4 linked regions of the Stegostoma tigrinum genome follow. The protein of the gene in region 1 purifies or fractionates together with the protein of each later gene. This does not show direct contact. Links are inferred from orthologs where the notes say so. Each region holds a gene or a part of one and is shown in the gene's direction. Other genes may lie near its edges.

Region 1 (7,597 bases):
AGGCAGACACACACAAACAAACCAAGTTCCTTATTAATGGAGTCACTTTATAACCTCGTTGCCTTGCAGAATAAATAAGCAGCACATTGTGATGAGGTCTGTTTGCCTGCTCTTATGAGCAATGGTGACCCCCATAACTAAAGAGGTCACCCATGGTGAAGAGGGGCATAAACAGTATTATAGGGTTGCTCTCAAAAGGACTTGCTTTTACTACATGCATAAACATGCCTCAAAGTGGGCATAAATCTCTCACGTTCAAAGGGTCATTTGAAATAAAACGGAACTCCTTGCAGGGTTGAAACAACTCACATTTATATAGAACCTTTGGCAAAGTAAGGCATCAGGGCATCTTACGGGAGAATTATCAAATAAATTTGATAGCAAGCCAAAGCAGCTATTAGGACCAGAAACCAAAATGCTGCTCAAAACAGATATATTTTAAATGAGGGCCTGAAAGCAGAAAAATCAGACACAGAGGTGGAGGGAAGGAATTCTGGATGTTAATGCTTTGGCAATCAAAGGCTGGCTGCCAGTGATGGAATGCTTAAAATCAGGGATGAATGAACAAGAGGCCAGAAAGGTTTTTGATACAATGCCACACCAATAGAGTTATGAGGAAAGTAGGTAATGGAATATAAGGGGCAACAGCAGTAGCAGATACAAAATTGGCTGATAGGAAACAGGGTAGTGGATAATGTATATTCTTTGGGCTAGATAAAGGCTGGCAGCATAGCTGCCCAGCTGAAAGTTTTGGGACCCTTGCTTTTCCCCGATTTTACATAAAATCAAGCAAAATGTGCAAGCGACAATTTCAACATTCGGGGACAAAACAAATCTTGGTGAAATTGAAATCCAGAAAAGAACGCCTGAACTTCAAGAGGACATTCGCAAACGGTGGAGTGGGCAGACAGGCAGCAGATGAAGCTCAATGCGGAAAGGTGTGAAGTAATGCAGTCAGTTCAACTAACATGGACAGACAGTACGAAATAAAGGAACACTTCTGAAGTGTGCGCAGGAGCAAATGGACACGTGCCTAGATCACTAAAGAAGTAGGACAGATAGAGAGTGGTAAATAAAGCCCACATTATTCTTGACTTCATACATAGGAGCACAAAGTACAAAAACATGAAGGCTATGATGAATATTTGTAAGACACTGGTTAGGCGTTAGCTGGCATACTATATTGTGTAGTTCTGAACGTTACATGATTGAAAGGATGTGAATGCATTGGAGAAGTGGGGAAGAAATTTAAGAACAAAGACAAAGACAAAGACAAAGTTGCTGGAAAAGCTCAGCAGGTCTGGCAGCATCTGTGAAGGATAAAACAGAGGTATTGTTTCGGGTCCAGTGACCCAAAGTTGAGGAAGGGTCACCAGACCCGACACGTTAACTCTGTTTTCTCCTTCACTGATGCTGCCAGACCTGCTGAGCCTTTCCAGCAACTTTGTTTTTGTCTTGATTTACAAGATCTGCAGTTCTTTTGGTTTTTATTAAGAATGGTTCTCAAGATGAAATACTCAGTCATGAGAAAAGACTGGAAACATGGGAACTCTTTTCATTGGGGAGAATTGGTAAAAGTATTAAAATTCATGAGAGATCTGGAAAGGCAGATTGGGAAATGACACTCCCACTCAAGAACCAGATGGTTCAGTTTTAAAGTGTTTCACAAAAGATAAACATGAGGTGAGGAAAATCCTTTTCACACAGCGAGTAGTTTAGGTCTGGAGTGTACTGTCTGGAAATGTGGTAGAGGCAGATTCAATTGAGACATTCAAGAAGGGCATTAGATGATTATTTAAATAGGAACAATGAGTCGGGTTATGTCGAAAAGGTGAGGCGTTGGCATAAAGTTAAAACGCTTAGATAGCCAGAGTTACAGGATGGGGCAAATGACAACCTTCTGCACAATAACAATTATGTGATTCACAATGAGACAAAGAGTATTGAACAGACATCGAATCAGGATTTAACCTCAAACAAACCAGGACGAGGCCATTTGCCCCTTGAAGCCTGCTCCCCCATTTGACAACATCACAGATGATCTGATTATATCTGTAATTCCACATTTCCACTACTCCCGATGGATCTGCCATCATGGTGTCCGTTTTGCCTGCAGCACGGTATTTTTTTACCTGATGAGTCAATGCTTACATAAAACAAAGAAAAGCAAATCCTGGAGATCTGAAACAGACAGAAGCAGAAGTTTCCTGTAGACACTCATGCTGCCAAACCTGCCATGAAGATAAAGCAGATTAACTACGAACCCAGCAGGCCCAGCAGCATCTCAGGAGCACAAAAGCTGATGTTTCGGGCCTAGACCCTTCATCAGAGAGGGGGATGGGGTGAGGTTTCTGGAATAAATAGGGAGAGAGGGGGAGGTGGACCGAAGATGGAGAGAAAAGAAGATAGGTGGAGAGGAGAGTATAGGTGGGGAGGTAGGGAGGGGATAGGTCAGTCCAGGGAAGACGGACAGGTCAAGGAGGTGGGATGAGGTTACTAAGTAGGGGATGGAAGTGCGGCTTGGGGTGGGAGGAAGGGATGGGTGAGAGGAAGAACAGGTTAGGGGGGCAGAGACAGGTTGGACTGGTTTTCGGATGCAGTGGGTGGAGGGGAAGACCAGTCCCCCTCTACTGACACCCTCATCCACCTAGCCGAACCCTGGGCCACCTCCAGCACATCCCTCACCTTCCTGGACCTCTCAGTCTCCATCTCAGGCAACCAGCTTGTAACTGATGTCCATTTTAAGCCCACCAACTCCCACAGCTATCTAGAATACACCTCCTCCCATCCACCCTCCTGCAAAAATTCCATCCCCTATTCCCAATTCCTCCACCGCATCTGCTCCCACGATGAGGCATTCCACTCCCGCACATCCCAGATGTCCAAGTTCTACAAGGACCGCAACTTTCCCCCCCACAGTGGTCGAGAAAGCCCTTGACCGCGTCTCCAGCATTTCCCGCAACACATCCCACACACCCTGCACCCGCCACAACCACCCTAAGAGGATCCCCCTCGTTCTCACACACCACCACACCAACCTCCGGATACAACGCATCATCCTCTGACACTTCCGCCATCTACAATCCGACCCCACCACCCAAGACATTTTTCCATCCCCACCCTTGTCTGTTTTCCGGAGAGACCACTCTCTCCGTGACTCCCTTGTTCGCTCCACACTGCCCTCCAACCCCACCACACCCGGCACCTTCCCCTGCAACCGCAGGAAATGCTACACTTGCCCCCACACCTCCTCCCTCACCCCTATCCCAGGCCCCAAGATGGCATTCCACATTAAGCAGAGGTTCACCTGCACATCTGCCAATGTGGTATACTGCATCCACTGTACCCGGTGTGGCTTCCTCTACATTGGGGAAACCAAGCATTCGCAATAAACAATATCCCAGTCGCAAACCATTTCCACTCCCCCTCCCATTCTCTAGATGACATGTCCATCATGGGCCTCCTGCAGTGCCATAATGATGCCACCTGAGGGTTGCAGGAACAGCAACTCATATTCCGCTTGGGAACCCTGCAGCCCAATGGTATCAATGTGGACTTCACTAGTTTCAAAATCTCCCCTTCCCTCACCGCATCCCAAAACCAGCCCAGCTCTTCCCCTCCACCCACTGCATCCCAAAACCAGTCCAACCTGTCTCTGCCCCCCCCTAACCTGTTCTTTCTCTCACCCATCCCTTCATCCAGCCACACATTTTATTACCTTGGATTCTCCAGCATCTGCAGTTCCCATTATCACTAATGTTCTGGACACATGGGTTCATGGCAGATGATGAAATTTGAATGCAATGGGGGGGGGGGGGGGGGGGAGGAAAATCTGAATTAATAATGAATCCGTTGTCAATGGTCAGGAAAAAAAACGCGTCCAGTTCACGTGTAGTAGGAGCTGCCGATGCTGGGGAACCTGAGACAACAAGGTGTAGGGCTGGATGAACAGCATCAGAGGAGTAGGAAAGCTGACGTTTCGGGTCTAAACCCTTCTTCAGAAAGATGGGCATTAAATACTGACCTGGCCAGCGACGCCCTGAGCTTGTGGATAAATAGTAGATAAATGTAAACAGTTGTTAATGCACGTTGCAAATAAAGTTCACACTTTCCTATGTCCTTCTCAATCATGCAAAAAACAAAATACTTAAATTTACAACCACATACATACCAAGTATAAGAAAAGCGCTACACTTCGTCTCAATTCAACTTGTTGCAAACTTCAGAAGAGAACACGGCTTCTGTTTGCTGGATGAGGCCCCGCCCCTTCCCTGGCGTTTAACCTGCCAATCCCGTCAGGGGGCGGAGCTCGGGTGAAACAAAGGAAGCCTCCGGTGGAGGCGGAGTCACGACATAATCACATGCACAGACCTCGGCAGAAGGCGGGGCCCGCGGGCGGAACATAATGCGCATGCGTACTCCGGTGGGCGTTCGGCCGTGTCACAGCTGCGCATGTGAGATGTTTGACTGACGTGTGTTGTGGCAGAAAGCCACGCCCCTCCAGTCCGCGGCGGAAAGACGGGTCGCATAGTTACGCATGCGTAACTATTGACTGACTTTTGTGTCGGGCGAATGAGCCACGCTAGTAGAGTGGGAGGGGGTTCGGACACACCGTCACGCATGTGTAGAATCTGATTAACGGCGGTAAACGCGGAATGGGGCGGAGTAAGGGCGAGCACCGCCCATGTATCTGGAGACGGATCTCGCATGTGCGCATGCGTAGAGATTGGGACAAGGGGAAACAGTTAGCAACCAAAAGAACTGCGGATGCTTAAATCAGGAACAAAAACAGAAGTTTTCGGAAAAGCTCAGAAGGTCAGGCAGCATCTGTGAGGAAAAACAATCAGAGTTAACAATTTCGGGTCCGGCAGCCTTTCTTCAGAACCGAACCACTTCTTGGGCGGAGCTCACACTCTGCCCGCCCCCTTCCGGAAAGGGTTGTGGGGAAACCACCGCGCACGCGCAAACCTTCGCAGGCCGACGGTCGGGCGGGAACGTGCGGGGCGTGGCTCGGCCTTAACCCGCCCCCAGACCTCATATGATTGGCTCGCTAGTGCAGCAATCCGAGCCACCTATTGGACAGAACGGCTGTCAGACAACCTCGATGACGTCCCGAGGTCGAAAGAGGCGGGCGGAAAAAAAAGTGAGAGAGAAAAAAAGATCTGAGATTTTCCACCGGCTTCGGAGAGCAAAGGGGCATTAAATGTAAGTGTTTTTTTAAAAAACTGCCTTAGCTCCATAGTTCTCTTCGTGATTATGCTATGTGTTTGATGATTTTTGCTTCTGAGTCTTTTTTTCTCTCACGATTTTATTTTTTCTTTTTATCCCCTCAATTTTATTCTAATTTTTCCCACTGTTTTTGTTTCTCTTTTATTCCTTTTTCTTTTCCCAGTCACTTCAGGGCTTCTTTTCATGCAGAGCAACAAAATGGATGGATTTGCCTCAGACAGTCTTATAATGTTGTGTACCTTCCTTTCCGATTTGCACTTTGTAAATCCACTGCCTCAACAATTAGACAAAGATTAAAATGTTAATTTTATCTGCGCTGGAAAAAGATTAAAAAGCTTGAGGACCAAGTGCTTTTTCTTTAATGAAGCAAAGAAATCATAATTTCTGCTCTAGTATGTTCCTGAACATTATTTAATTTGTGTTTGGTGCAGTTACACCATTAGGGAATCAGCACTGATATTTTTTCCCACTGTTTTAAGAAGCCAAAATGACTAAAACCACAGCTGGAGTTATAAGGCTTCATTCCAGCAGTTATTTAGTAAATCTTGTTCTTGTTCCACTAGAAATAAAGCAAAGCCTGAGGACAGAATCAATCCCTGAAAGGTTTGTTTGAGCTCAGGCAGGGAAGTTCACTCCCCATCTCCCATTGTTGAGGGGAATGAGCTAACTGAGCATTTACCTCATTGCCATTTCCGGGACCTGATGGTGTGTGAATCAATGACTCTTTTTTTCACCAGTACCTAAACAATGAGACAGAGACTTAGCCTATAATTCAAGTTGAAGTTTGCAGCACTTACTTTCAGAGAAGATGTTGAACCAATGTCCCATCATCTTGGGTCAACATTGAAGACCCAATGTGTACTATTTGGGGGAAAAAAAGTGCTGAGGAGTTCTGCACAATAACCTGGATCAATATTTATGACTTAGCCAAACTGCTGAGCAACATCAGTTAGCGATTGTTGCCTGTGGGAGCTTTCTGTGTGCAAAATGGCTGTTCTGTTTTCTGCACTACATCTATACTTCAAAAGTTGACTATAATTTACATTGAGAAGTCTTGAGCCCATGAATAGTATTATGTAAAAGATAAGTTTTAACACTGTTATACTCAAAAGGTACTTAATTCCATGTGAGATAGTTTTGGATCAAGTATGAAAAATGATCTATAAATTTGAGTTCCTTGATTTGAATTTGGAAGAACAAGTTGTATTTTATATTTACCGTAGAATTTTAGAGTTCCCATTGTTTTAATAAAGCAAAACTAATTCCAAATAAATTAAAGAAAACAGCTCTGTTTTGCAGCTATGTCTCTGCTTGGGGCAAACTATTTTAATGGAAGTAACAAGTGAAATGACCAGTTTTTGTACTGCATTACAGGTATTTTAGAGGGTAGTTATCGAAAGAAAATGTATATTCTCTTGTTTTAAGAGCAAATTATTTCCATTTCTTAAATAATTCACTATTCCATTTGTGATTATATTTCAAAATTCGTTCATACTCTGAATCATTGACTCATTTCTTCTATTTTTTTCTAATTGACTAAGGTCTGTTCTCCATACAATTATTCACATGGGCTTATTTGTTGTGTTATTGCAAGTAGTGCTTTGCTGTCATTGTATAAATAGATGGCTATTATCACACTACTATTATAACAAGCCTATGAATTTGCATTTAAAGTACGATCAGTTGTTGAAAGTCTAGCCATATGTAGTAATTTTTGAAGTCAAAGTTATGATTAACAGTCTTTTTGTTCTATTCAATACACTTTAAGCTTTTTGTGGTAATAGTTCTCTCTAATCAGTGGGCACTAATTGTGTAGTTGAATCCTACTCTCCAGAAAGAGGCCACTAAGCCTGACAATGAGAGCGATTTGAATTAATTCATCCTGTCAGTCACCCTCTGTTTATAACTGTCTCACTGTTGGTAACTGCCTCTCTACTGACATTTCAGCTGTCCAGTAGCTAGTTTCGAAACCTGTTCCAGCTATATTTCTCTTCTGCAAACTCTCAAATGACACCGTGGTGACTGTGGCAAAGGTACACACTCCTTAATCTCCATGTAGTCTCTTTCTTTCGGCGTAAATATTCTGTTTTCCCAGCCACTTTAATTTCTGATGAAGGGTGAGTAGACGCAAAATGACAGTGTTTTTCACTCTACAGATCATCATTCATGCTGCCAAGTCCACTGAATTTCTCCAGCACTTTGTTTTTGTTTCAGATCTCCAGCATCTGCAGTTCTTTACTTTATCCCTCATCCTTCTCTGTCTGCGGTTTTTGGAATGGTTGGTCATGTCGCACTCCTCCAATTTGACTCCATTGTTGTACAGGTAGATGCAGCTGCACTAACTTGCCTGATTCCATTTCGATCTGTC
Region 2 (7,082 bases), on another chromosome or scaffold:
AGGTTAACTGCACACACGTACTGTATTGTGTCAGTATCTCAAACAATTTTAACAGTTACTTCATATAATCAAAATGTTAAAATAATGAGCATCAGCTAAATAACAATCTCAAATCAGATAGAAGTTCAAAAGTGACAATATCACAGTTATTGCCAAATCAGCCTACACATTTCCTTAATAAGACAAGTGACTACTATGTGACAGCAGGACTTCAATCATCTTGATATCAAACATATCAAGAACTAAAGAGATGAGGAACTGTTTGAACCAGACTGAAATGCTATGTCAGTGTGACCTCAATGTATTTTGGTTAAGTTTGATTCTTCCTGTAACAAAGTGTAACACTTTGAAGGCATGAAGCAAATATAGCATTATTAGAAGATGGAAAAGAACTAAAATTACTCAAATGGAAAGTATTTTGAATTATAACATTTATTTTTAAAGCAATGATTGATATGGACAAGGAAAATTAGACTGAAAATAGATGTTATTCATTAAATAGAATGTATCCTGAAGATAATTCTGGCTGTTTACAATATAGGATAACTATTTTCAGACTCTTCTATCCTCTGCTACTGAAAACCAGCAACTGAAAGAGTCACATTAAAGACACTAACAGCTGCCTCATGCAGGCATGAATGTAGCTCATGGTTACAGTGACTTCCACTTCAGTATTTCTGCAGTTGAATTCCAATTAACTTATGCAGACACTATAATTATCTTATCATCATTGGTTGACGTGATGGGAAACCCCATTCATAGCTCAAAGTAAAAATCTCCATTGTTGACCAATCACTCAGGACTAATGGCAATTCAGTATGATTGAAGAATTGTACTTAGGAACTGTTGATAGTGTAATCAATAAAAACAGATACAGCTGTCCACTTCCCACCGACCAAATCATTCAGCTGGAAGTTGTGCCATGTTCCATTCAGCTGTACTTGCAAGTGCGAGCTCTGTTCATTGGTCCATACTGAATTCAGTCACGTCAGTCAAAGCAGCACTGGGGACTTGTAGTTGACCTATGAATCCGTGGATTGAGAATAACATCCAAGGTTTTATCTTTTCATTATTTACTGACTACTGCTGGAAAACATCACATTATGTGAGCACAGCACCCGAGCATTGCTATGTAGGTCTATAAAACCAAAAAAGTGCATTCAATTAACACCAAATAGACATTGAGGTTTCCTGAAATGTTTCACAAAATAAAATATTCTTGAAATGTAGTTATGGCTGGTTTTCAAATAAACAAGGCAAACTGGTGCACAGCAACAGACTACAAATTAACAAGTTTTTGGTGATTTTGATTGAGGGATATAAATTTGCCAAACACTCGTTCTTCCTCTTTAATCACTGGATCATGGCCCAGTTTAATGTCTCGTTCAAAAGACTGTGATTTGAACAAAGAAGCATCCACTCAGTACTGCTCTGACATACGTACTCTTGAAACTGTATCTTTCCGACTAAAATTTGAGAATGTTACCATTGGGCCATTATGACTGCTTACTAACAACTAATATTCAGACTCAAATGTAAACAATAAGTGCTTGAAAAGAACTTCTGATAGCTACTGGTACAGGATTAGAGTTGTATCAGTGCAGAGACTATCTCCAGGACTTCTAAGGAACAAAATATGAAAAATATACCTTTATAAATTGTCTTTAAAGTGAAGCAGGTTCAAGGAACCAAGTGGCTGGTTCGTGCTCCTAATTTGTATGTTGGTATATTCATAGAGACAGAGTCAGAGATATATAGTACAGAAAACAGACCCTTTGGCCCATCTTGTTCATGCCGACCAAGTATCCTAAACTGATGTAGTTCCATTTGCCAGCATTTGGCCCATAACCTTCTAAAGCCTTCCTGTTCATGTACTCATCCAGATGCATTTTAGATGATATAATTGTACCTCCCTCCACCAATTCATCTGACAGCTTGTTCGATACACAAACCAACCTCTGCATGAAAACATTGCCCCTCAGGTTCCTTTTAAACTTATGTTGACAGAGGCAAAGGAAAAGTAACACGAAGCAACAGGATTAGGATGAGAGATCAAGAGCTTATTCATGGAGGTGATCAAAAGTTAATAAATGCCTGCAAATACATGGTCGGGCCATGGTTAGAATAAAGACAACAGAGTTTTGTAATTTTAGCTTGTGGACCATGGATAATGGGAAGTTGGACTGAAGAATAATTGAATAATTAAAACTGGAAGGGTCAGTTCAATGAATCAGTGTTTTCAATGCAACATGGGTTGAGATAACGGAAGAGCAGATAATGCTACAGAGTTGAATGTTGCAGATCTTCATGATGTACATGGTATCTTGACTGACTGACATCTTTGTTTTTGACTGCGAATGTTACTAACTAATTGCATTCTTATTCCAGAATTTATAATAATTTCTTTTCATCCAGTTTTCTACCCATTCCATTCATTCTAAGTAAATTATATCTGTACACTCTGGAATTTAAAGAAATGAGGGGTGATTTCGTTGAAACATGCAAGTAGTTGAAACTGAAGTCGTAGGAAGTGCTGGAGAATCTGAGATAACAAGGTGTAGAGCTGAATGAACACAGCAGGCTAAGCAGCATCAATGGAGCAGGAAAGCTGACATTTCGGGCCTAGGCCCTTCTTAATTTTCTGAAGAAAGGTCTAGGCCCGAAACATCATCTTTCCTGCTCCTATGATGCTGCTTGGCCTGCTTTGTTCATCCAGCTCTACACCTTCTTATCCAAGATTCTGAAGTGGTTTCGCAGGTTAAAGAGAGAAGGTTTTTCTCCTGTCTAGGGAATCTAGGGCACCAGGGATCAATGATAACAAAGTGTGAAGCTGGATGAACACAGCAGTTCCCATTATCTCTGATCACCAGGGAACAATTTCAGGTTAAGGATCACTTGGGGTTGACATGAAGAGAAATTTCTTCACTCAGAGGTCTGTGAATCTTTAGAATTTTCTACAGAGGTGTGAACTCTCCAGACAAATACATTTCTGATCTCACATAATCAAGATTAATGGGAGAAGATAAGAAAACAAAACTGATGCAAAAGATTTGTTGTGACATTGTGGCTCAGTCATTAACACCACTGTCTCACAGCATCAGGGACCAGGATTCCATTCCACCCTTGAGTGACTTGTCTGTATGGAGTTTGCACATTCTCTAGATGTGTGTTGGCTTGCTCCAGTTTCCTCCCACAGTCCAAAGACATGCCATGCTAAATTTCCCATAATGTTCAGGGATGTGCAGACTCAGTGGGTGAACCATAGGAGGTTGCAGGAAATAAGGTGGGATGCTCTTCAGAGGGTTAGTGCAAATGTGATGGGTGGAATAGCCTGCTTCCACACTGTAGGATTCTATATTTAGTAGATAAGCAGACTTGAAGGTCTGCAGGATAACCCACACCTGGTTTTACTTATGTGTCTTGGATATAGTCAGCCTTCTGGCATCTTTCACCATGATTATTCTTTCCGTAAACTCAGACAATGAGAAATGAATGGATAATTAAGACTGTAGCCCTTAATAGTAAAAAGAACTGGGCAGTGATCAATAATAAGACTGTGGCTGGTTCTCCTCTTTAGCACAGGAACATACACTTGAACCTCTACCCTAGCAAAACCAACAAAAAAAGTCAACAAGCTCCTGTCAGCCAGAATGGTGCAATGCTGAAAATTTTAGCTTCAAGTTAAAGGATTATTGTAGAAAGTTACAGAAACTCTTTCCTGTTGCATTAGCAGGTTCTGTTAAATAAAACTCAATTATCTGAACACACGGGGTCTTAAATAGTATCCGCAAAAGTGATGCGATCACTGATTAGAAATAAGGAAAAAGAGCAAACATTTTAAATTAAACTGAATCGCACCAGACCGTTTCTTAGGGGAAGTAATATCTGAATAGAAACTGATACTTTGATCGTAAAAGGAGAATCTCATTTCATTTGTCTTACACGCTCTTTTCAGTCTCTCTGTAGAAACGACAGGTAAGGTCCTAGTGAGTAGCCTGCAGACACTGAGCAGGTGTGTGGGCCAGTGAGGCGCGCCTGCGCACTAGCGCTGCTGCTGTATTTGGCCAAAGGGCCGCGGCTGCTCCTCCTCCACCGACAGCGCAGCGCCGCCGCCATATTCTGCAGACAGAAGGGCAATGGCGGCTCGCTTGCGACGCTGAAACTCATCCGGTTACTTTCCTTCGCGGACCCTTCCCACTAATATAACAATACCACCGTAGTAATAACAATAATAAACATGGACGAACATCCGATAGGAATGTCCTCACAAAACAATTCCGGAGGTCCTTTGCTGGGCCCGGGAAGCAACGGCAGCAACAACAACGGTGTCCGGCAGCAGCAGCAGCAGGGTCAGCTAGAGGAACTGCAGCAGCGGCCCCAGTACACTATCCCCGGCATCTTACACTATATCCAGCATGAGTGGGCCCGCTTCGAGATGGAGCGAGCGCACTGGGAGGTGGAGAGGGCCGAGCTTCAGGTAGAGTGACAAGCAGTGCTCGCACAGCGGGTCTGGGGGTCCGGGGAGGGCTGATCTACAGCTGGGGACGTCGAACTCGGAATGAGCGATACGGTTGTGTGCTCAGTGTTCGCCCGGGGCTCGGAGGAGGATTGATAGAGCGGATAGTATTTACCCAAGTGTGAGGCTATCCTCGCCGCCGCCATTTTTGTTTCCAATATGGCGCCGGACAGCTGAGTGTAAATAACTGGGAGCATGTTTGTATGTGGGTGCTCATGGACCTTAGGTTCGTCTGATGGTCCTGGTTTTCAACTTAATTTGCTTCTCCTGATTTGTTACCGAATGATGCTGTTGTCGGACAGTGTGCGCCTCTTACATCTCTGATCAAACGGGGAGCCTCAGACCCGGGTGTCTGGTTTTGCAGAATGGATTGTTTGAGCGTTGCTTGGGTAGCATTGCATAAGCCCTTGATGCAGAATATGACTCAGTTCTCATAATTTGCCTGAAACTGTCAATCTGGATAAATGTGTTTGTGTTGAAGCGATTCAGTTGTGATCCGACAAATTGGCACTGACCACATCGGGCATAGACTTGACATTCAGTTGACTGACGCGATATCGTTTTAATTCACTTGCAGTTTCATTGCGATCCTGTCATTTAAACAAATGCATGTTCTCACATCGTGGTAACTGTTTATCGTTGTAACGATGGACAGCTTAAGGCAAAATGCAGGATCTCAATTCCTCGTTCACTTTGGTGGTGTCATTATACCATATATCCATTTCTGAAGTTAATTCTAACAGCAGCATTGTTATATGTTACATGACTTGTTAAGATACCCTTTGTGTCTTCAAAATATTACTTTAAGACAGACAACTGTTTGTATAAACAGTTTGCAACAAAAGGTAGTGTAGGCATTGTAATGTTGAGGACAATGCTGCGTTTTTAGAGGTTCCATCTCTTGGGTGAAATTGTAAACAGGCCATGTTTGTCTGTTGATTTCAAGAATAATTTTGGTACTGTTTACAATTTAGGAGTTCTCACAGATCACTTACTCTTAAAACAGCACTAAATGGATTAACTAGTCATGTTTGAGTTTATATAGAAATCGGATGCAGTTTGTTCGCATTAAAGCAACTACACTTCAGATCTAAAATTCAAATCTTGAAGTGTTTTGAAATAACTTGATAATGTATTTTTTTTTTGAAGAAATGCTACTTGTCGTTACATTCTAACTGACAATATGGTAATAAGTAAATTTTTTTTGTTACTTTTGAATACATGCAACCTTTTTTAAAATACAAGGCAGTGACTTACTTCACTGTCACTAATTAATCTCAGTATTTAAAATTGGTGTACCTGGATTCTTTATATTGTGAGTTTTTATAATTAAATATTATCATTAATATCAACCAGTAGTTTAATTTTGCTAGACCTTTTGAGTAAATGTGATTTTGACTGCTAGATTTTTCTTGAATTAAGTTTAATGATGTAGTTTATGTTTTATTTGTAGTTTTGGGAACAAAATATTTATCCTACATTAATTGAAACCATATACTATATACTGTACTTGGAATCACAGAAACTAGGAGCAGACTATTTGGGCCTTCGAGGTTTCAGTATGATAATAGCTGACCATATGTCTGCTTTCTTCCCATGCCTGTTGATACTTTCAAAATCTAAAAAGGAATCACTTTCTTGAATACATTCAGTAATTTGGCATACATGTCTTCAGTAGTAGAGAATTCCCCAGATTAACTACCCTTTGAAGAATCATAGAATCCATGCAATGTGGAAGCAGACCATTCAGCCCATTGAGTGGACACTGGCTTTCCAAAGAGCGTCTCACCCAGACCTATCCCATAGCCCTCCCTGTAACACTGCATTTCCACCTAGCCTCACACCCCTAGACATTGTGGGCAATTTAGCATGGCCAGTCCATCTAACCTGCTCATCTTTAGACTGTGGAACGATACCAGAGTACCTGGAAGAAATCCACACAGACACTGGGAAGATGTGCAGATAAATAGTTTAACCCATATTTTAATGCTGTTCCTTGATTCTGGACTCCCAATCAGGAAAAAAAATCTTCCCACTATCCAGTGTGTCCAGCTGTGTTAGAATTTACACGATAAGAATCATACCCCTAGACCAACAAGCGTACACAATTTATCTCTGTGTTAGAATTTTATACATTTCAGTCAGATCCCGTTTCATCCTTCTATTGGATCTAACAGAGGACAGCCATGGAATTCTTGGAGGCTTGACATTCATCTGAGGACTCTATCAACCAACACATTGAATTGGATTCAATATATTGACCATTACAATGCACAGCCAGAACTGGCACCTACCAGAAGCAGCAAAAACCAGACCATGTAAATTCAAACTGGCACAAGACAACAGCACTGAGTATGTCATGTAGTAAGGGGACAAAACATCTGCTATCAAATCAACGAACACACCAGCATCTACAACCAGCACTGTCCTATAAATCTAAGGCAACCCCAGTTTGCCTTCCAAATTGCTAGTGCACCCACCCATTGATCGGCTTACAAAGACATCCCGATCCCTTTGTTTATCCATACTTTCCAACACAGCAAGCTTTTTTTATTATCCTGCACAT
Region 3 (7,850 bases), on another chromosome or scaffold:
AGAAAAAACCTGTAAGTAGTGTTTCCAACAGTTTTATTTTTGCCCTATCTCATGTGTGATCCCTTTCCTTGTGTGATCAACACTGACTGTTTATTAACTATTTTACTGAATTTATGTTTGGAAAGTACTGTAAAGAAAAAATCACATTAAAATGATACATTTCAGGACAGCCATATTTGTTAGCAAGTTTTGAGAAGATTTGTAGCTCAGGTTGAGGTTCTGGATGTAAGTTTGCTTGCTGAGCTGGAAGGCTCGTTTTCAGACGTTTCGTCACCATTCTAGGTAACATCATCAGTGAGCCTCCGGTAAAGCGCTGGTGTTATGTCCCGCTTTCTATTTATCAGCGAGCAAACCCACATCCAGAGCCATATTTGTGTTCAGGACACCCCAAAGTGCTTTACAGCCACCAAAATTTTCTACAATGTGGATACCATTGTATTGCAGTGAATGTAGCAAGCAATCTCAATATACAACAAAGTTCCACCGACAGCAACTTCACAATCACTGGTTAATGTGTTTTTATAATTTTCGGTAAGGCAATATCATTGGCCTGGATATTGAGAACCTCCCTGCTCGTCTTCAACTGGTGGCTTGGGAAATTTTATGACCATCTGAGAGGTGAGACAAGGCATTGGTTTCATTTCTTTTAGTGTAACTATAGCAGTTCTGATAGCGCAGCACTCATTTTGTACTGGATTGGAAGTGTCATCCAAAACTACTTGCTCAAGTATCAAAAGGCGAACATGAAGTTTTGGCCTTCTGTCTCAGATGCTGGACTATTTTTCCTCCAATTTTCACCCTAGAATTTCTCATCTAATTTTGTTGTATTGCCTCTACATTTTCTGTATTTGGGTTGGTTTTATTTTAAATTATTATCCCAATAATTTTCTTTCTTCTCTTCATTTATCCACATTTTCTGCCTGTTGAGCAATGTCTGATCTGTATTGGAGTCATCTGCCTTTTGTACATTTCCTGGTGTACTTTACACCCTGCCCATTCTTCTACCAATTTATCTAGTTTAATTCCATTCTATTCTCATTAATATTGGCTTTTGCCTCAGTTAAACATTTTGATCGTTGGCCGCTCCTTCATCTGTCCAACTTTCAATTCAAGCTTGTATTTTCAATTGGCTCTTACCTACATGTATCCTTACCCTCATCTTACCAAATTGTTTCACTTCAACTTGTTAGTTTGTTTGTGTGTTTGTTTAATTACAACAAAAAGAGAAAATGTCGTAACTGCACACAGGAAATTTAGCATTTATGAATAACTAAGACTTGGCTGATACTGAGGCTAAATGACCTGCTGTGTATTTCTAACACTTTTTATTTTTAGCTTACATTTTCAGCTTTTACAATTTCCTTTCCTCTAGCAAAAATAAAGATAGAAAACATAAGAATATTCAACAATGTATAAACTTCAGGTCTATGATTGTTCATCAAAACAACTTATTCAATTTAACCTGCTACAAACTCAGTTTCACAAATTCTGAATTGTTAAAGAAAGAAAAAAGCTGCCTCTATGTAATATCGTCAGGACCACAGGAGCTCTCAAAATGCTTTAAAGCCAATAGTGGTATGCTATTCAAAAAGGGTGATAGGGATAAACTAGGAAACATCAGGCCAGCATGTGGAACTATTTGAAAACATTCTGAGGGACAGAATTAATCTCCACTCGGAGAGTCTAGGTTTGCCCATACAGCTTTGTCAAGGTAAGATAATGTGTAACAAATTTAATTACATTTTTTGAGGAATTGACTAGGTGTGTAGATGAGAGTAGTGCCATTGATATAGCCTACATAGACTTCAATAACTCTTTTGACAAGCTCTCGCATGGCAGACAAATTAAGAAGCTAAATATCCATGGGATCCGGGGCAATTTGACAAATTGGATCCAAAATTGGCTTAGTTGCTGGAAGCAATGTTTATAAGGCCAGTAAGTTCATAAATGACACAAAATGATATGGTAAATACCAAGGAGCAAAGCTTTAGTCTGCAGGTTAACATACACAGCTCATCAGATGAGCTGAACAGTGACAAAAAGAATTTAGTCCTGAAAAGTGAGATGATGCATTTTGAGACAAATAACAAGGTGACAGAGTACAGGTTTAACCCTCAGAAGTACAGAGCATCAGAGACACCATTAGAGTATCTGTACCTGGATCCTTGAAAGCAATAGGGCAGTAGATAAATATGGATAAGGCATATGGATTTTAGCCTTTGTTTTGAGGCATTATGTACAAGAGCGAGGAGGTCATGATGGAGGTGTGTAAAACATTAATTAGATCACAACTGGAGTGCTATGCGCAGATCTGTGTGCTGCATGAGAGGAACGATCTCATTGCACATGGTGCAGAGAAGATTCACTTGGACGTTGCCTGGGCTGGAGTGATTCAGCTATAAAGAGAGACTAGATAGGCTGAGGTTGTTTTAATTTGAGCAGAGAAGGCTAATGGGAGACATAGTAGAGGTGTTACAAAGTTATGAGGGGCATAGATAGGAAGAAACTTCTCCCATTGGTAGAGGGGCTAATAAACAAAGAACTTAGAAACAAGGTATAGGGCAGGAGGTTCAGAGGGGTTTGGAATTTATTTTCACATCTAGAGCAAACACCTAAAATAGTGGTATAGGAGGGAATTCTCGCAACTTTTGAGAAACATTTGGATGAGCAATTAAAATACTTCAATATAAAAGGCTATGGGCCAAGTGCTGAAAAATGGGATTGGATAGGTGTTTAAAATTTTTGAGAAGATTTGTTGCTTGGGTTTTAGTTCAGGTTGTAGACATGTTTGCCAAGCCAGTGGGTTTGGCTGCAGATGTTTCATCATCCTGCTAGGTAACATTGTCAGTCCATTTCTGGTTAAGCATTGATGTTCTGTTCCACTTGTTATTTATATGCCTCAGTTTGTTGGGTAGTTTGGTACCACTTCTGGTCTGTTTCTCATTGGTTTGTACATCGCATCTAATTCAGTGCATTTGTTATGGGAGTTCCCGTTAGAATACCAGGTCTCCAGGAATTCCCTGGCGCATCACTGTTTAGCTTGTGACATTATGGATGTGTTGTCCCTTGTTGTCAATGTGTAGTGAGACAAGTGAGAAATGGTTGTGTCTATTGGTGGCTAGTTGGTGTTTTTGTATCTGTATTGTCAGTTTTCTTCTGATTTGACCTGGGTTGTGTTTCTCACAGTCCTTGCATGGTATTTTGTATATTACACCAGTTTTGGGTATGGGATCCTTTATGTTTGTAAGTAGCTGTCATCGAGTGGTTGTTGGTTTGTGGACTACTTCGATACCTAGGGGTCTGAGTAATCTTGTGGTCATCTCTGAAACCTCATTGATGTGCAGTAGGGTGACTAGTGAGTCTGGTTGTGTTGTGTCTTCCTGTTGCAGTCTGTTGGTGGATTGTGCTTTTTGAGTATCCAATCCTTTTGAAGACTCTGTATAGATGCTCCTGTTCTGCTTTGTGTAGATCGGGGTTGCTGCAATGTGTTGTATGAAACAGTATCCTGACGCAGCTTTGTTTATGGGTGTTGATATAATTGAGTATCTGGTGCAAATGGGTGGTCTTTCTGTAAACGCAGGTCTGGAGTTCCCCTTTGTGTTTGCGTTCTACCTTTATGTCACTTTACCGATGATAGACAATAGACTTCTGAGATTAAATTGTTCTTTTATTGGCTAACCCAACATTTCACTTTTTGACTCTACACGTCTGGCGACTGACCCTCCATTGGATACAGAAAGATCCTGCCTTTCCCTCCGGAGGTACGAGGGCCTGAGAAAGGACGGCACAGATTTACAGACAATGGGAACTGCAGATGCTGGAAAATCCGAGATAACAAAGTGTGGAGCTGGATGAACACAGCAGGCCAAGCAACATCAGAGGACCACCTATCATGCTGCTTGGCATGTTGTGTTCACCCAGCTCCACACTTCGTTATCAGAGATAATGGGAACTGCACATGCTGGAGAATCCAAGATAACAAAGTGTTCCACAAAAATCACCATGAAGGGTCTAGGCCCGAAACGTCAGCTTTTGTGCTCCTGAGATGCTGCTTGGCCTGCTGTGTTCATCCAGCTCCACACTTTGTTATCGTGGGTTCTCCAGCATCCGCAACTCCCATTATCTCTCTCCACACTGTTATCCGGGCGCAGATTTGCTCATGCGCATTGCGGCTCAGAACCCGACGGCCTGCGCCGTTGCCAGTAGAGGACACGCCCACCATCGAGGACCAGAATGCACATGCGCGATAATAAAATGTGAGGCTGGATGAACACAGCAGGCCAAGCAGCATCTCAGGAGCACAAAAGCTGACGTCTGTCCCGGCACATGCGCGAAACTGGATATCCAGCGCAGGCGCAAAGCTGGTCGGCTTTAAATCAAAAAGCGCAGTTGTGCGGGGAGGTTGAGGCCCTGGGAGGCAGAAGAAGGGTTCGGACGGCGTGACGTCAGCAGCACTAGCGGCTCGCTTGAAGCTGTCGGCGCATGCGTAGATAGGGTCTATGGAGGGGTGGAAATTGATTAAGGATGGGGGCGGGTCCTCAATAGAGGTGGTAAAATCGGAAGTAGCTGGGAAAATTCAGTAGGGCTGGCATCATCTGTGAAGAGAAAGTAATTTTAATGTTTCGGGTCCGATTACCCTTCTTCAGAACTGAAGCCTTGACTCCACAGGTGCTGCCAGACCTGCAGAGTTTATCCAGCACTTTCTGATTTCCAGCACCGCACTGCTTTAGTTTTCCCTTTGGAGTGGAGTGGGGCTCTGAGGAGGACGGGCTAGAGGGATTCAGAATGGGGTCGAGAAAGTTGGGCGGGGTCTAGGGAGGTTGAGAAAAGGTCGAAGTTTGGTGCGGCGGACGCGCATGCGCCGGTAGCAGTGGGTGAGGCAGAGACAGCGGCCAACCGTCAGTGGGTTTGTTTGTGACAGCAGCGGCTTTATAACATCATCATCATCATCATCATCGTCATCAGCAGCAGCTCGATTCAGTCGAGGTCATGGAACGCGCAGAGCGGTTTAAATTTTAACGGCCGGCCCCGCGCGCGCGCGCCGCCGAGCGGCCAGAGGAAGTCCAGGGCCGGTGGACTGACCAAGTACCGGGGCGGCGTCACCGCCACCGCGGTCGTGGTCGTAGCCGCCGGCGTGGAGGCCGAGGGGACGGACGAAGGGTTTTGGGCCCCAGCCATGGACGAACACCCGGGAGCCGGGGTGTTCTTCGGCAATAACTCAGTGCTGAGCGGAGGAGGAGGCGGCCCGGGTATCGGGAGCAGGAACCTGCAGCCGGCGCAGCAACCGGGGCCCGAGGGGGAAGCTCAGAGGCCGCAGTACAACATTCCGGGGATCCTGCACTTCCTGCAGCACGAGTGGGCCCGCTTCGAAATAGAGAGGACGCAGTGGGAGGTGGACAGGGCCGAGTTGCAGGTAAATAACGCACCCCTCGGCCAGGCCGCGCTTCATGCTTGGATACTCGATTGCTGACCACCTCTCCCTGATCAACGGGGTAAGGGGGTGGTGGATACGTTAAGATGGCCGCCTGTCAAAGGAAGGAAGGAGGATAGTGTTGCTTTTTCTTCAAAGACCCTCAACTTTGCAGCTCTTCCCCAGTGACGATGACAGTTTAAATCAGAGGAGCTTTGCAACGACATTCCAAAAATGCCTTCAGTAATATTCTTAAACGGAATTGGGCAAGTTACTTGCAGGGGAAAGTTTGTAGGACCTTTGAAGAAAGAGCAAGTGGTCGGTATCGTTTTGAGTTCTTTCAAAGAGCCAGGACAGGCGCGATGGGTCGAGTAGACTTCTCGGTGCAGCCTGATTGTATGGAATGCTCCAGAAGAAATATGATCAGTTAATTGGCCAGGATTGTCAGTAGTTAAAGGGAGCAAACTTAAAATAGACAAGAGCACCAGAGGGACGAAGAATTTTTTTCTTGAGACAGCCATTTATGATCTAAATGCACCCTCTGAAAGGGGAGGAAGAACAGATTTAGTAGTAGTGGCAGTCAGATAAATACTGGGAGAATGGGGAGATTGCAGAGATATGGCTGAAGACCAGCGGAGTAGAAATAACTAGATAGTTTTGTCAAAGAATTGGAAGTGGAATGATCTGTGTGTTGGGACAACTGCACGGTTAAACAATCATGCACTTTTTGCTCCATCCACTAGCCTTTACCCTCACCAGTCCTGGTGATCCAGCCTGTATGAATTGATCGACATTAACTTGATTCAGCTAGACTGTTGGTTCGTTCTTGAGCAGTTCTGAAGGGCCTTGATTTAAATTGGTTGTACTGGAACAAGATTCAGTATTCTGAATTGAAGGGAGTCACCTTTGGCCTCATTAGAGATTTAAACATCCATGATTTAGCAATTTCTGCCCAGTGTTTTCTGTTGTTATCTATCAATGAATCATTGTAACCAAAGGTTACACAATGACATTCCAAAAGAAACACAGCTGTCCTGAATAGTATAATGTTCTTGGTATAGTCTAAAGGATTCCCCACAACGTAACAGGACAAAAATTGGAGTTTTTGATCATTATACATCAACCAGAGCACCACCTTTTAAAATTATAGTAATTTACACGCCTTGGTCAAGATCTGTGTGACATTCCTGAATTTGGTGTGTCTAATGGCATATCATCATGCCTAACATTATTGTTCAAGACTGCATTTCAACAACTTACATTGTGTCTTGAGTGTAACTTTTTTTAATGTTTAACAGTTGTTAGGAGAAATTGACAAAATTGCAGAAAGGCTTGACAGCATGTTGAAAAGAATTAGACAATGTCTTTTCTCCATTATTATAATAGAATAAACCCAAAGTTGAGATCGTTATGGGATGTGTACCTTGTGAGCTGTCTACCATTTACGTATTATCAAGGAGTAACCATGGGATACTGTTCATGCAGCTGGTTCCATTAATATTTCTGTTGCATTGTTTTAGGAATCTGCAGGATATGAAACACTCCCAGCTTTTTTATTTATACAAATAATGTAAAACCAAAAGGGAAGCTGAGACTTCAGTGTACCCTCTTATACTTGAAATATAATTTACTAAGCTGAATGTTCTGTGGCCGTGGCACTTCAGCATTCATAACCTTTAGCCTACGAAATCTGAATTCTTGAATTATCTATCAACTCAGTATGTGGAAGTATTTCTTCTGAAAGCTACCACTTTCAGTACCTTTAACATATCCCCACTGCTTTCCTGTTGCTGATTTCCCCCTTGAGTTTCTCTGACTTGTTATTGAAGCTAAGATTTTTTAAACAATTACCTATTGAAATGTCGGTAAAGTGCTTACTACAGCAACTAAAGCTACATGAACTTATATAGAACCTTTTAAACATTTTAAGGTGATTTGCAGGAGCAAATACCCTCATGGGGATATTGGGGTAGATGGCAACAAGCTTGGTTAAAGAAGGAGCATCTTAATGGAGGAGAGAGAGGTACTGTACTTTAGGGAAGGAATTCCAGAGGTTTAGGACCTCTGAGATATACCATGGGCCACAGTTTTGAATTACTGCACATTTTTAAATAGGGTAAAAAGTGGAGCTAGGATTGTAATATGTTGGCAAAATATAGAAGTAACATGAAGGTTTCAACAGAACGTGAGTTCAATTAGGCGATGCTAGAGTTGGAAATAAACAATTGTATTGATGGTATGGCTATGTAATTGGAATCTCATCTTGGTTAAAATGACAGGTTTACGTGTTCCCTGGTTCAGACTCTGGCAGCTGTGGGGGAAAAGAATGGAGTTTTTGGTGGGAGCAGAAACACCATGCTGCTTCCAATAAATTATAAATTTCAATCTTATGGTAACTTTTTACAAGGTGCTAATGAGACCCTAGCTGGTATACTGAGGG
Region 4 (7,638 bases), on another chromosome or scaffold:
TGAGATATAAATCTTCTCTGCTTGAACCTGATTTTCTTGAGTGTCTGCAAGTCACTGAACTAAATGTTAACTCTGTGTGATCTGCTCTTGTATGTTGTTTTAGAATTGGTCCCTGGCTGTTAAATGGTGTCTTACATGTATGTGAAACATATTTGTATTTTAATCCATTTCAAATTTAAACTTGTTTTTCTTCTCTCCCAGAGCTCAAGATCTGAGGATATGTTTTGCACTTTGAGTTTATAACTTACAGCAGTTCACATTTCTCCAGCATACAGAAATGCAAAGCAGGAGATATTAAATGACAGAAGTAGAAGGTGCAAGGTCAAGTTGATGGTAATGGGACAAGAAAAAAAAGACATCTCCACAGCATGTGTAAGTGATATTATGGAATCATTAGCAATACATTTTGTTAACATTTAAAAGGTAAGTACGTGAAGAGGAAAGGTTTGGAGGGGTATGGACCAGGTGCAGGCAGGTGGGACTAGTTTAGTTTGGGATTATGTTTGGCATGGACTGGTTGGACCAAAGGGTCTGTTTCCATGCTGTATGACTCTATGACAACTTAAATTAGCTTGTTAACAATCTCAACTACTCTTCAAATCTTTTCCTGGGTGAAAGATATCCTTAGTGCTTTATTAACACTCCAAATATTCATTTATATACTGTAGTGAATAAGTTCCTCAGCTTCTCTTCTCCTCAAATAGCATCTAAAACTTTAAAATGATTCACTCATTTATGTGTTTATTAGGGGCAAAAGTAGACTGTCCAGGCAGATTAGGTCTGTTTCACCATTTCATGAGCTCACAACAGATTATATCACCCTCAACTCTACTTTCCTGATGCCCTTTGATTTCTTTACTGGTTAGAAATCTGTCCATCTCAGCCTTAGACGTATTTAATGACCCAGCCTCAAAAGCACTCTGTGGTAAAAAAATCCACAGACAGAACACTGTCTCCAACTCCAGTAAACATTTCCTTAGATGAAAAGACCAACCTATTCACAGTATTCTAGGTGTGGTCTGTCTAGTGTTTAGTGTTGTTTTAGCAAGAGTTCCTTATGTTAAGTCACTATTCCCTTTGAAATAAAGGTCAACATTTTACTTGTCTTCCCAACGACCTGCTGAATTTGTCTGCTAATATTTTGTGATTTAAGTATGAGACTCCCATATCCCTCTGTGCTTCATCTCTCTGAAGGTTTTCTCTATTAAAATAATACTCAGCACAGGCAGCTACTGAATATACCTGTTGGGTTCGTACTAGGATTGCGTCTCATTCATTCAAGCAGATTTACAAAGTGACAGTATAAAACTGAGGTTTAAAGTATGAACTGTTTTGTCATGTACTACTCTTTGGAAAGCAGTGATCCATGCCATTAAATGGAGCTCGAAATGGCATTATCAGATCTTGCTACTCATAAATACCTCTGTGAGAATTTCCCTCATGTTGACAGTCCTGGTTGGCAAGTTGGGCTAATATAATTCACCATTTGTTTGCCATGATTTTTTGGCGTCCAGAGCAAAGAGGTTTGACTGCTTCAGGACAATACTCCAGAGGTAAGTTTGTGTTCATATGTGTTCTATTGTGGATTATGCATTGGACTATGAGATTCAGCATTTCAGATAATCCCAAAGCATACACAGGGGGAAGCAGTGCTGTAGCAATAATATCACTGGCATCATACTCACTGGAAATCAAGTCCCACTGCTCCCAGAGTCACTACAAATATTGAATGTTAATTAAACTCCTGACAATCCTGAATAAAAACCAAAAGAACTGTGGATGCTGCAAATCAGGAACAAAAACAAAGTTGCTGGCGAAGCTCAGCAGGTCTGGCAGCATCTGTGAAGAAAAAAAAACAAGAATGAGTGTTTTGGGTCCAGTGACCCTTCCTCATCCCTGGGCAATTTAGCATGGCCAATCCACCCAACCTGCACAGCTTTACACTATGGGAGGAAACCCACACAGACATGGGGATAACTTCCAGACTCCACAGTCAGTCACCCGAGGCTGGAATTGAACACGTTTCCCTGGCACTGAGTACCGACAGGGCTAAGCACTGAGCCACCATGCTGCCCAGTTGTATCAAAAATGTTAAGAAGCCTAAAGAAAGGAATGTAACTAGGTGAACTATCTGGCATTGGTCTAGACATGTGAATGACAATGGTAAACCTAATCCTGCCAACTCTGCAAATATTTTCTTGCTAATATTGGGAAGGTCATGGAAGAGCTGTCCCTCAGGCTAGTCAAGCAACAGCCTGTCAGTCATATTTTCCAAATCATACCTTGCAGTCAATGTCCTCATGAGGTCTTCAAACTGGACTTCAGAACCCATGAAATTTCACGGAATTGGGTCAAACATCAGGAAGGAAACCCCCTTCTGATTACCATCAATGGCACCACCATTTATCAGCTGGTCAATCAGCGTACCACATGGAGGAAGCACTGAGACTGGCAATGGCACAGAATATACACTGGACAATGGACTTCAATGTCTGCCAATAGGGGTGGCTCGGCAGTGCCATTGTTGACCGAGCTGGTTAAGTCCTGAAGGACATAATTGTAAAAGTGAGACTGCGGCAGGTGGTAAGGGAACCAACAGGAGGAAAAACTTACTTGGCCCTGTCCTCACCAATTCATCTGTCGGTGATGCATTTGTCCAATACAGGAGTGCCCATCATATGGTCCTTATGTGACAAAGACCCATCTTCACATTGAGAATCTCTTCTATTCATGTTGTGTGGCACTACGACTGAGCTGAATGGGACAAACTTCAATCAGATGGAGCAACTCAAATATGTGCACCCATGAGGTACTGTTTGTCTTCAAACAGAATTGTATTTAACCACGATCTGTAGCATCTTGGCTTGGCTCATCACTTGCTATACCATTACCTTCAAATCAGGGCATCAGCAAAGGGGTTCAATGAAGAATGCCAGATGGTATACCAGGAACAACACCAGACAAGCCAACAAAATACAGTGCCAACCTGGTGAAGCTACAGGACTACCTCCGTGAGCAGCACACAAAAGTCAGCCAAACAAACCAAGGATCAATGTATCCGATCTAAATTTGCAACCCTGCTGCATCCAGTTGTGTACAATGGTGGACAGTTAAACAACTCACTGGAGTTTGAGGCTGCACAAATATTTTCATCCACAATAATGAGGAACCCAGCACATCAGTGCAAAAGATAAGTCTGAAGCATATGTAACAACTAGAAATACAAAACGGATGGTCCATTTCAGTCTCCTCCAAAGATCCACAGCATCATGGATGCCAGTCTTCAGCTAACTTGATCACTCCATGTGTTTTTTTAATAGATATGGCTGGAGGTACTGGGCATTACAAAGACTGTAGGCCCTGACTACATTCCATTAACAGTAACGAAGACTTGTTTTAGAATTTGCCATACTGCTAGCCAAGTTGTTCCAGTAGCGGTGTTCTCTCTGGTATCCTGAGGACTTCACAGGTCCAACCGGAAGGCATTCTGGCACCCTCTGGTGTCAGGGCATTTAATTGCCTCCTATAAAAGTGACTTTCAGCCTCCCCTGGTGGCAGGAGATCATCATTGCATCCACTGGTGTGCACTCGAGCACCCTGTGGAGTAAATAAAGCTTCACTAATTGGAATTCAAGACGAATGGGAGACAACCTAATTGAAACATTCAAGATTCTTGGGGGAAATTGAAAGGTTGTTTCTTTTTGTGGACAGTCTAGGACCACAGTGCATAATCTCAGACTCAGTGGCCACAAAACTAAAATAAGACGCGAGATAATTTCTTCCCTCAGAGGATGGTGAATCTGTACAGATCATGATGCAAAGGGCTGCGAAAGCTGGGCCATTAAGTACATTCAAGATAGGATTTTAATATGTATGAGATTCAAGGGTTGTGGAAAAGGTCAGAAAATGAAGTTTAGTGTTATCACATCAGCCAGGATTTCATTAAATAATGGAACAGATTCAGTGGGTTCAATAGTCTAACCCTGCTTGGGCCGAGGCGTCAGCTTTGCTGCTCTGATGCTGCTTGGCTTGCTGTGTTCATCCAGCTCTACACCTTATCTATGAAGGCCCAGCTTGTTGGCTTCACACACCTCTTATTTTTAATTTTTAAAAAAAACCCTCGCCACAGCCTTTTCCGCCCGATGGACCTCTTTTTAAGTGAGATTGGGTCACAGGCGCTCGAACCGGACTGCGTTAATTCTAAGTCCTAATTAATTAGCTGTAATTGATTAATCATATATACGGGATCATTGAGCCTGAACCACCGACAAACAAAACCTTCCGACCTGGTTACCTAAATCCTGCCGGCCCGCTCCACCTGCAACCCCCCTCCACCGTTCGGCGGTCTCCGTGAATGACAGCAGCGGGAAGAGGTCGATCATGGAGCCCCGCCCTGCCTAATATAATAGGCCCCGCCTTCCATCCGATCAGCTCCTGCTTGTAACCGCGCCCTCGGGCGGCTGGAGGTCGACATTGACGCCTATTCGCCGGGCCTTGGCCCCGCCTGCTTGGCTGTTGCGCTCCGCCCCTGGCTCCCGCTCCGCCGGAAGTCCCAGGTCCGGCGAAATGACGATGGATGAGGGGGCGGGCAGGATGTCGGGGACGTCACGCTCCCTTTGCCCCGCCTCCGGCTGCAGCGCCGCCGGGAGGCGGGAGGTCCCAGGCCCCGTTCCCCCCAGTGAACGGAGCTCGTTCCCCAGTCTCGGTCACTGTTGCCTTCGACCGGCGGCGGAGTCAGTCACTTCCAGACCTTTTCGTTCACCTTTTCCTACGCAGCCTCCGCTCCGCACTGTCCTCAGCCCTACAAAGCGATCGGTGTCGGAGGTTGTGGGGGTTTATGAGACCGGGCCGCACCCCATTCGGGGGCTGAGGCTTGGGGCCTAACCTGGACTGACTGCCCCCCACCCCCATTTAAAAAAAACCCACCTTGGCTGAGGCGCTTGGTCGGTGTCGATTCCTTCAGGACACTCGGGCTGTTACCCCCTCCCCCTTCAGGAATCCCGAGCAGGGCCGGCGGGATGGCTCAGTCCCCGGAGCAGGCCACTCTGCCCGGGGTACAGGTAAGAGATTGAGGCTAGGCTGGGGGTTGGGGAAGAGGCTGCCCACCAGGCTTTAACAACAAGGGCTACAGCAGCGTCTGTTTATAGCATCTTTTAACATTTGGGTCTTGCTGAAGAAAAGCATTTGGTTCTGTACGGGTCAAGAATGTTCACATTCAGCTACTTGGCCTGCTCAGGTAAAAGGTATGCGTCCAGGCATTGGCATCCTTTCACCTGTCCTGATGAGTACAAGAGGAAAACTTCGGCTGGCATGCAATTTTCTTCTGCAACACTTGTCCAACCAAACAACAGCCTTTAACGACGGAAGCTGCATACCAGCCTCACCCAGTCGCACTGAGATGCTAAAGATAGGTGACCAAAGGCTTAGTGAGATTTGGTTTTAACCTTAATAATGAAGAGTGAGGCAGTGAGTTTTAAAGAGGCATTTCCAGAACTTACAGCCCTGGCAACTGAATGATGGCTATCATTCAGAAAACGTCAATTAATTATAAAGGAAGTTATGGCAGAGAATTTAGAAATACTTAATATAGTCAAGCACGACTTAATGAAAGGGGAATCATGTCTAACAAATTTAATAGAGATTGTCGAGGAGATGACAAACAAGATAGATAAAGGGAAATCAGAAGATGTGGTATATATTTTCCAAAAGGTATTCCACAAGGTATTAAACGTAAGGCTACTTAGGAGTTGGTGTAAGGCACAACGCTGTGTTTTTTTTCTTGCGGCTGTTTGGACCTCCATGCCTTATGTGGGACAGTAACATTGGAATTGGGCGTCAGTGTGTTTGCGCACCAGTTGACATATGTTGTCCCTCTGAGGGAGAGGGAACATTGGTAGTGGGTAATATATTAGTATTGAGAGATAATTAGCTAACCAATTGAAGAAAAAGAGGTAACAAGCTGTGAAGCTTGGATGAACACAGCAGGCCAAGCAGCGTCAGAGGAGCAGGAAAGCTGATGTTTTGGGCCTCTTCAGAAAAGAAGGGTCTCGACCCAAAATATCAGCTTTCCTGCTCCTCTGATGCTGCTTGGTCTGCTGTGTTCATCCAGCTCTACACCTTGTTATCTCAGATTCTCCAGCATCTGCAGTTCCTACTACCTCTGAAGAAAAAGAGGTCTAGTTTCGGAATGGCAACCTCTAATGAGTGAGTGTCACAGTGATTAATGTTGGTTCCATAATTATTTGCCACATGTAGTCATGACTTGGATGACGGAAGTCAGTACGATCACCAAATTTGCACATCGTACAAACTAGGTGATGTGATAATAAGGATGATAGAGTCTACAGAAATCTACAGTGGGCTAAAATCTATTAGGTGGAATGTAAACTTTTTTATTCACATTTGGATGTGCATGTTGCTGGCTGTGCTGGAATTTATTGCCTGTCCCTAGTTACCCTAGTGATGGTGAGCTGCCACCTTGGACTGGTGCAGATAATGCTGTAGGTTGACCCACAGTGGTGATAGGAATGGAATTTCAGGAATGTGGGAATATCTGACTTTATGCCTTTTGGCCAGAGGAACAGGGGAGCTGAATGTTATATAAATGTGGTATGATTGTGGACAGCTGAAACACACAGGGATGTCTTCATGCATGAATCTCTCAAAACTAGCACCTAAACTAGCAATTAGTAGAGAAGGCAAATAGGCTGTTAGCCTTTATTTCAAAGGAGATAGATTATAAAAATAGAAAGTTCTTTATAAAATTATACATGGCAGTATTAGTCAAACCATACTTCAAATACTGTGAACAGTTTTGGTCCCCTTATCTAATGGAAAGATATACTTGCATTGGAAGCAGTCTAGGTATCAGTCAACATAACAAAGTGTGGGGCTGGATGAACAGCAGGCCAAGCAGCGTCTTAGGAGCACAAAAGCTGGCCTTTCGGGCCTAGACCCTTCATCAGAAAAGGCGGATGGGGAGAGAGTTCTGAAATAAATAGGGAGAGCAGGGGAGGCGGATCGAAGATGGATAGAGGAGAAGATAGGTAGGGAGAGAATATGTCAGTCCGGGGAGGACGGACAGGCCAAGGGGGTGGGATGAGGTTAGTAGGCAGGAAATGGACGTGTGGCTTGAGGTGGGAGGAGGGGATAGGTGAGAGGAAGAACAGGTTAGGGAGGCGGGGGTGAGCTGGGCTGGTTTAGGAATGCAGTGGGGGGAGGGGAGATTTTGAAGCTTGTGAAATCCACATTGATACCATTGGGCTGCAGGGTTCCCAAGCGGAATATGAGTTGCTGTTCCTGCAACCTTCGGGTGGCATCATTGTGGCACTGCAGGAGGCCCAGGATGGACATGTCGTCTAAGGAATGGGAGAGGGAGTTAAAATGGTTCGTGACTGGGAGATGCAGTTGTTTATCGTGAACCGACTGTAGGTGTTCTGCAAAGTGGTCCCCAAGCCTCCGCTTAGTTTCCCCAATGTAGAGGAAGCCACAATGGGTACAGCGGATGCAGTATACCACATTGGCAGATGTGCAGGTGAACTCTGCTTGATGTGGAAAGTCATTTTGGGGCCTGGGATAGGGGTGAGGGAGGAGGTGTGGGGCAAGTGTTACACTTCCTGCGATTGCAGGGGAAGGTGC

What was found.
Region 2: the proteins of cttnbp2nlb (region 1) and strn3 purify together in Homo sapiens (affinity purification with mass spectrometry; 4 studies listed by BioGRID and IntAct, with this or other methods). This does not show direct contact. The link is inferred for Stegostoma tigrinum from reciprocal best matches to the Homo sapiens genes CTTNBP2NL and STRN3.
Region 3: the proteins of cttnbp2nlb (region 1) and strn purify together in Homo sapiens (affinity purification with mass spectrometry; 5 studies listed by BioGRID and IntAct, with this or other methods). This does not show direct contact. The link is inferred for Stegostoma tigrinum from reciprocal best matches to the Homo sapiens genes CTTNBP2NL and STRN.
Region 4: the proteins of cttnbp2nlb (region 1) and serine/threonine-protein kinase 24-like purify together in Homo sapiens (affinity purification with mass spectrometry; 3 studies listed by BioGRID and IntAct, with this or other methods). This does not show direct contact. The link is inferred for Stegostoma tigrinum from reciprocal best matches to the Homo sapiens genes CTTNBP2NL and STK24.

The regions. Positions count from the first base shown.
Region 1 is NC_081374.1:6,853,011-6,860,607, forward strand, and holds the start of cttnbp2nlb (CTTNBP2 N-terminal like b), read left to right. Parts: upstream 1-4,596; 5' UTR 4,597-5,205; intron 5,206-7,443; 5' UTR 7,444-7,514; coding exon 7,515-7,552; intron 7,553-7,597. UniProt on the Homo sapiens protein: Regulates lamellipodial actin dynamics in a CTTN-dependent manner. Associates with core striatin-interacting phosphatase and kinase (STRIPAK) complex to form CTTNBP2NL-STRIPAK complexes.
Region 2 is NC_081363.1:61,112,583-61,119,664, forward strand, and holds the start of strn3 (striatin-3), read left to right. Parts: upstream 1-4,078; 5' UTR 4,079-4,237; coding exon 4,238-4,477; intron 4,478-4,631; exon of another isoform or gene 4,632-4,685; intron 4,686-7,082. UniProt on the Homo sapiens protein: Calmodulin-binding scaffolding protein which is the center of the striatin-interacting phosphatase and kinase (STRIPAK) complexes.
Region 3 is NC_081357.1:94,950,806-94,958,655, reverse strand, and holds the start of strn (striatin), read left to right. Parts: upstream 1-4,829; 5' UTR 4,830-5,176; coding exon 5,177-5,413; intron 5,414-7,850. UniProt on the Homo sapiens protein: Calmodulin-binding scaffolding protein which is the center of the striatin-interacting phosphatase and kinase (STRIPAK) complexes.
Region 4 is NC_081359.1:18,049,367-18,057,004, forward strand, and holds the start of serine/threonine-protein kinase 24-like, read left to right. Parts: upstream 1-4,627; 5' UTR 4,628-5,018; coding exon 5,019-5,060; intron 5,061-7,638. UniProt on the Homo sapiens protein: Serine/threonine-protein kinase that acts on both serine and threonine residues and promotes apoptosis in response to stress stimuli and caspase activation.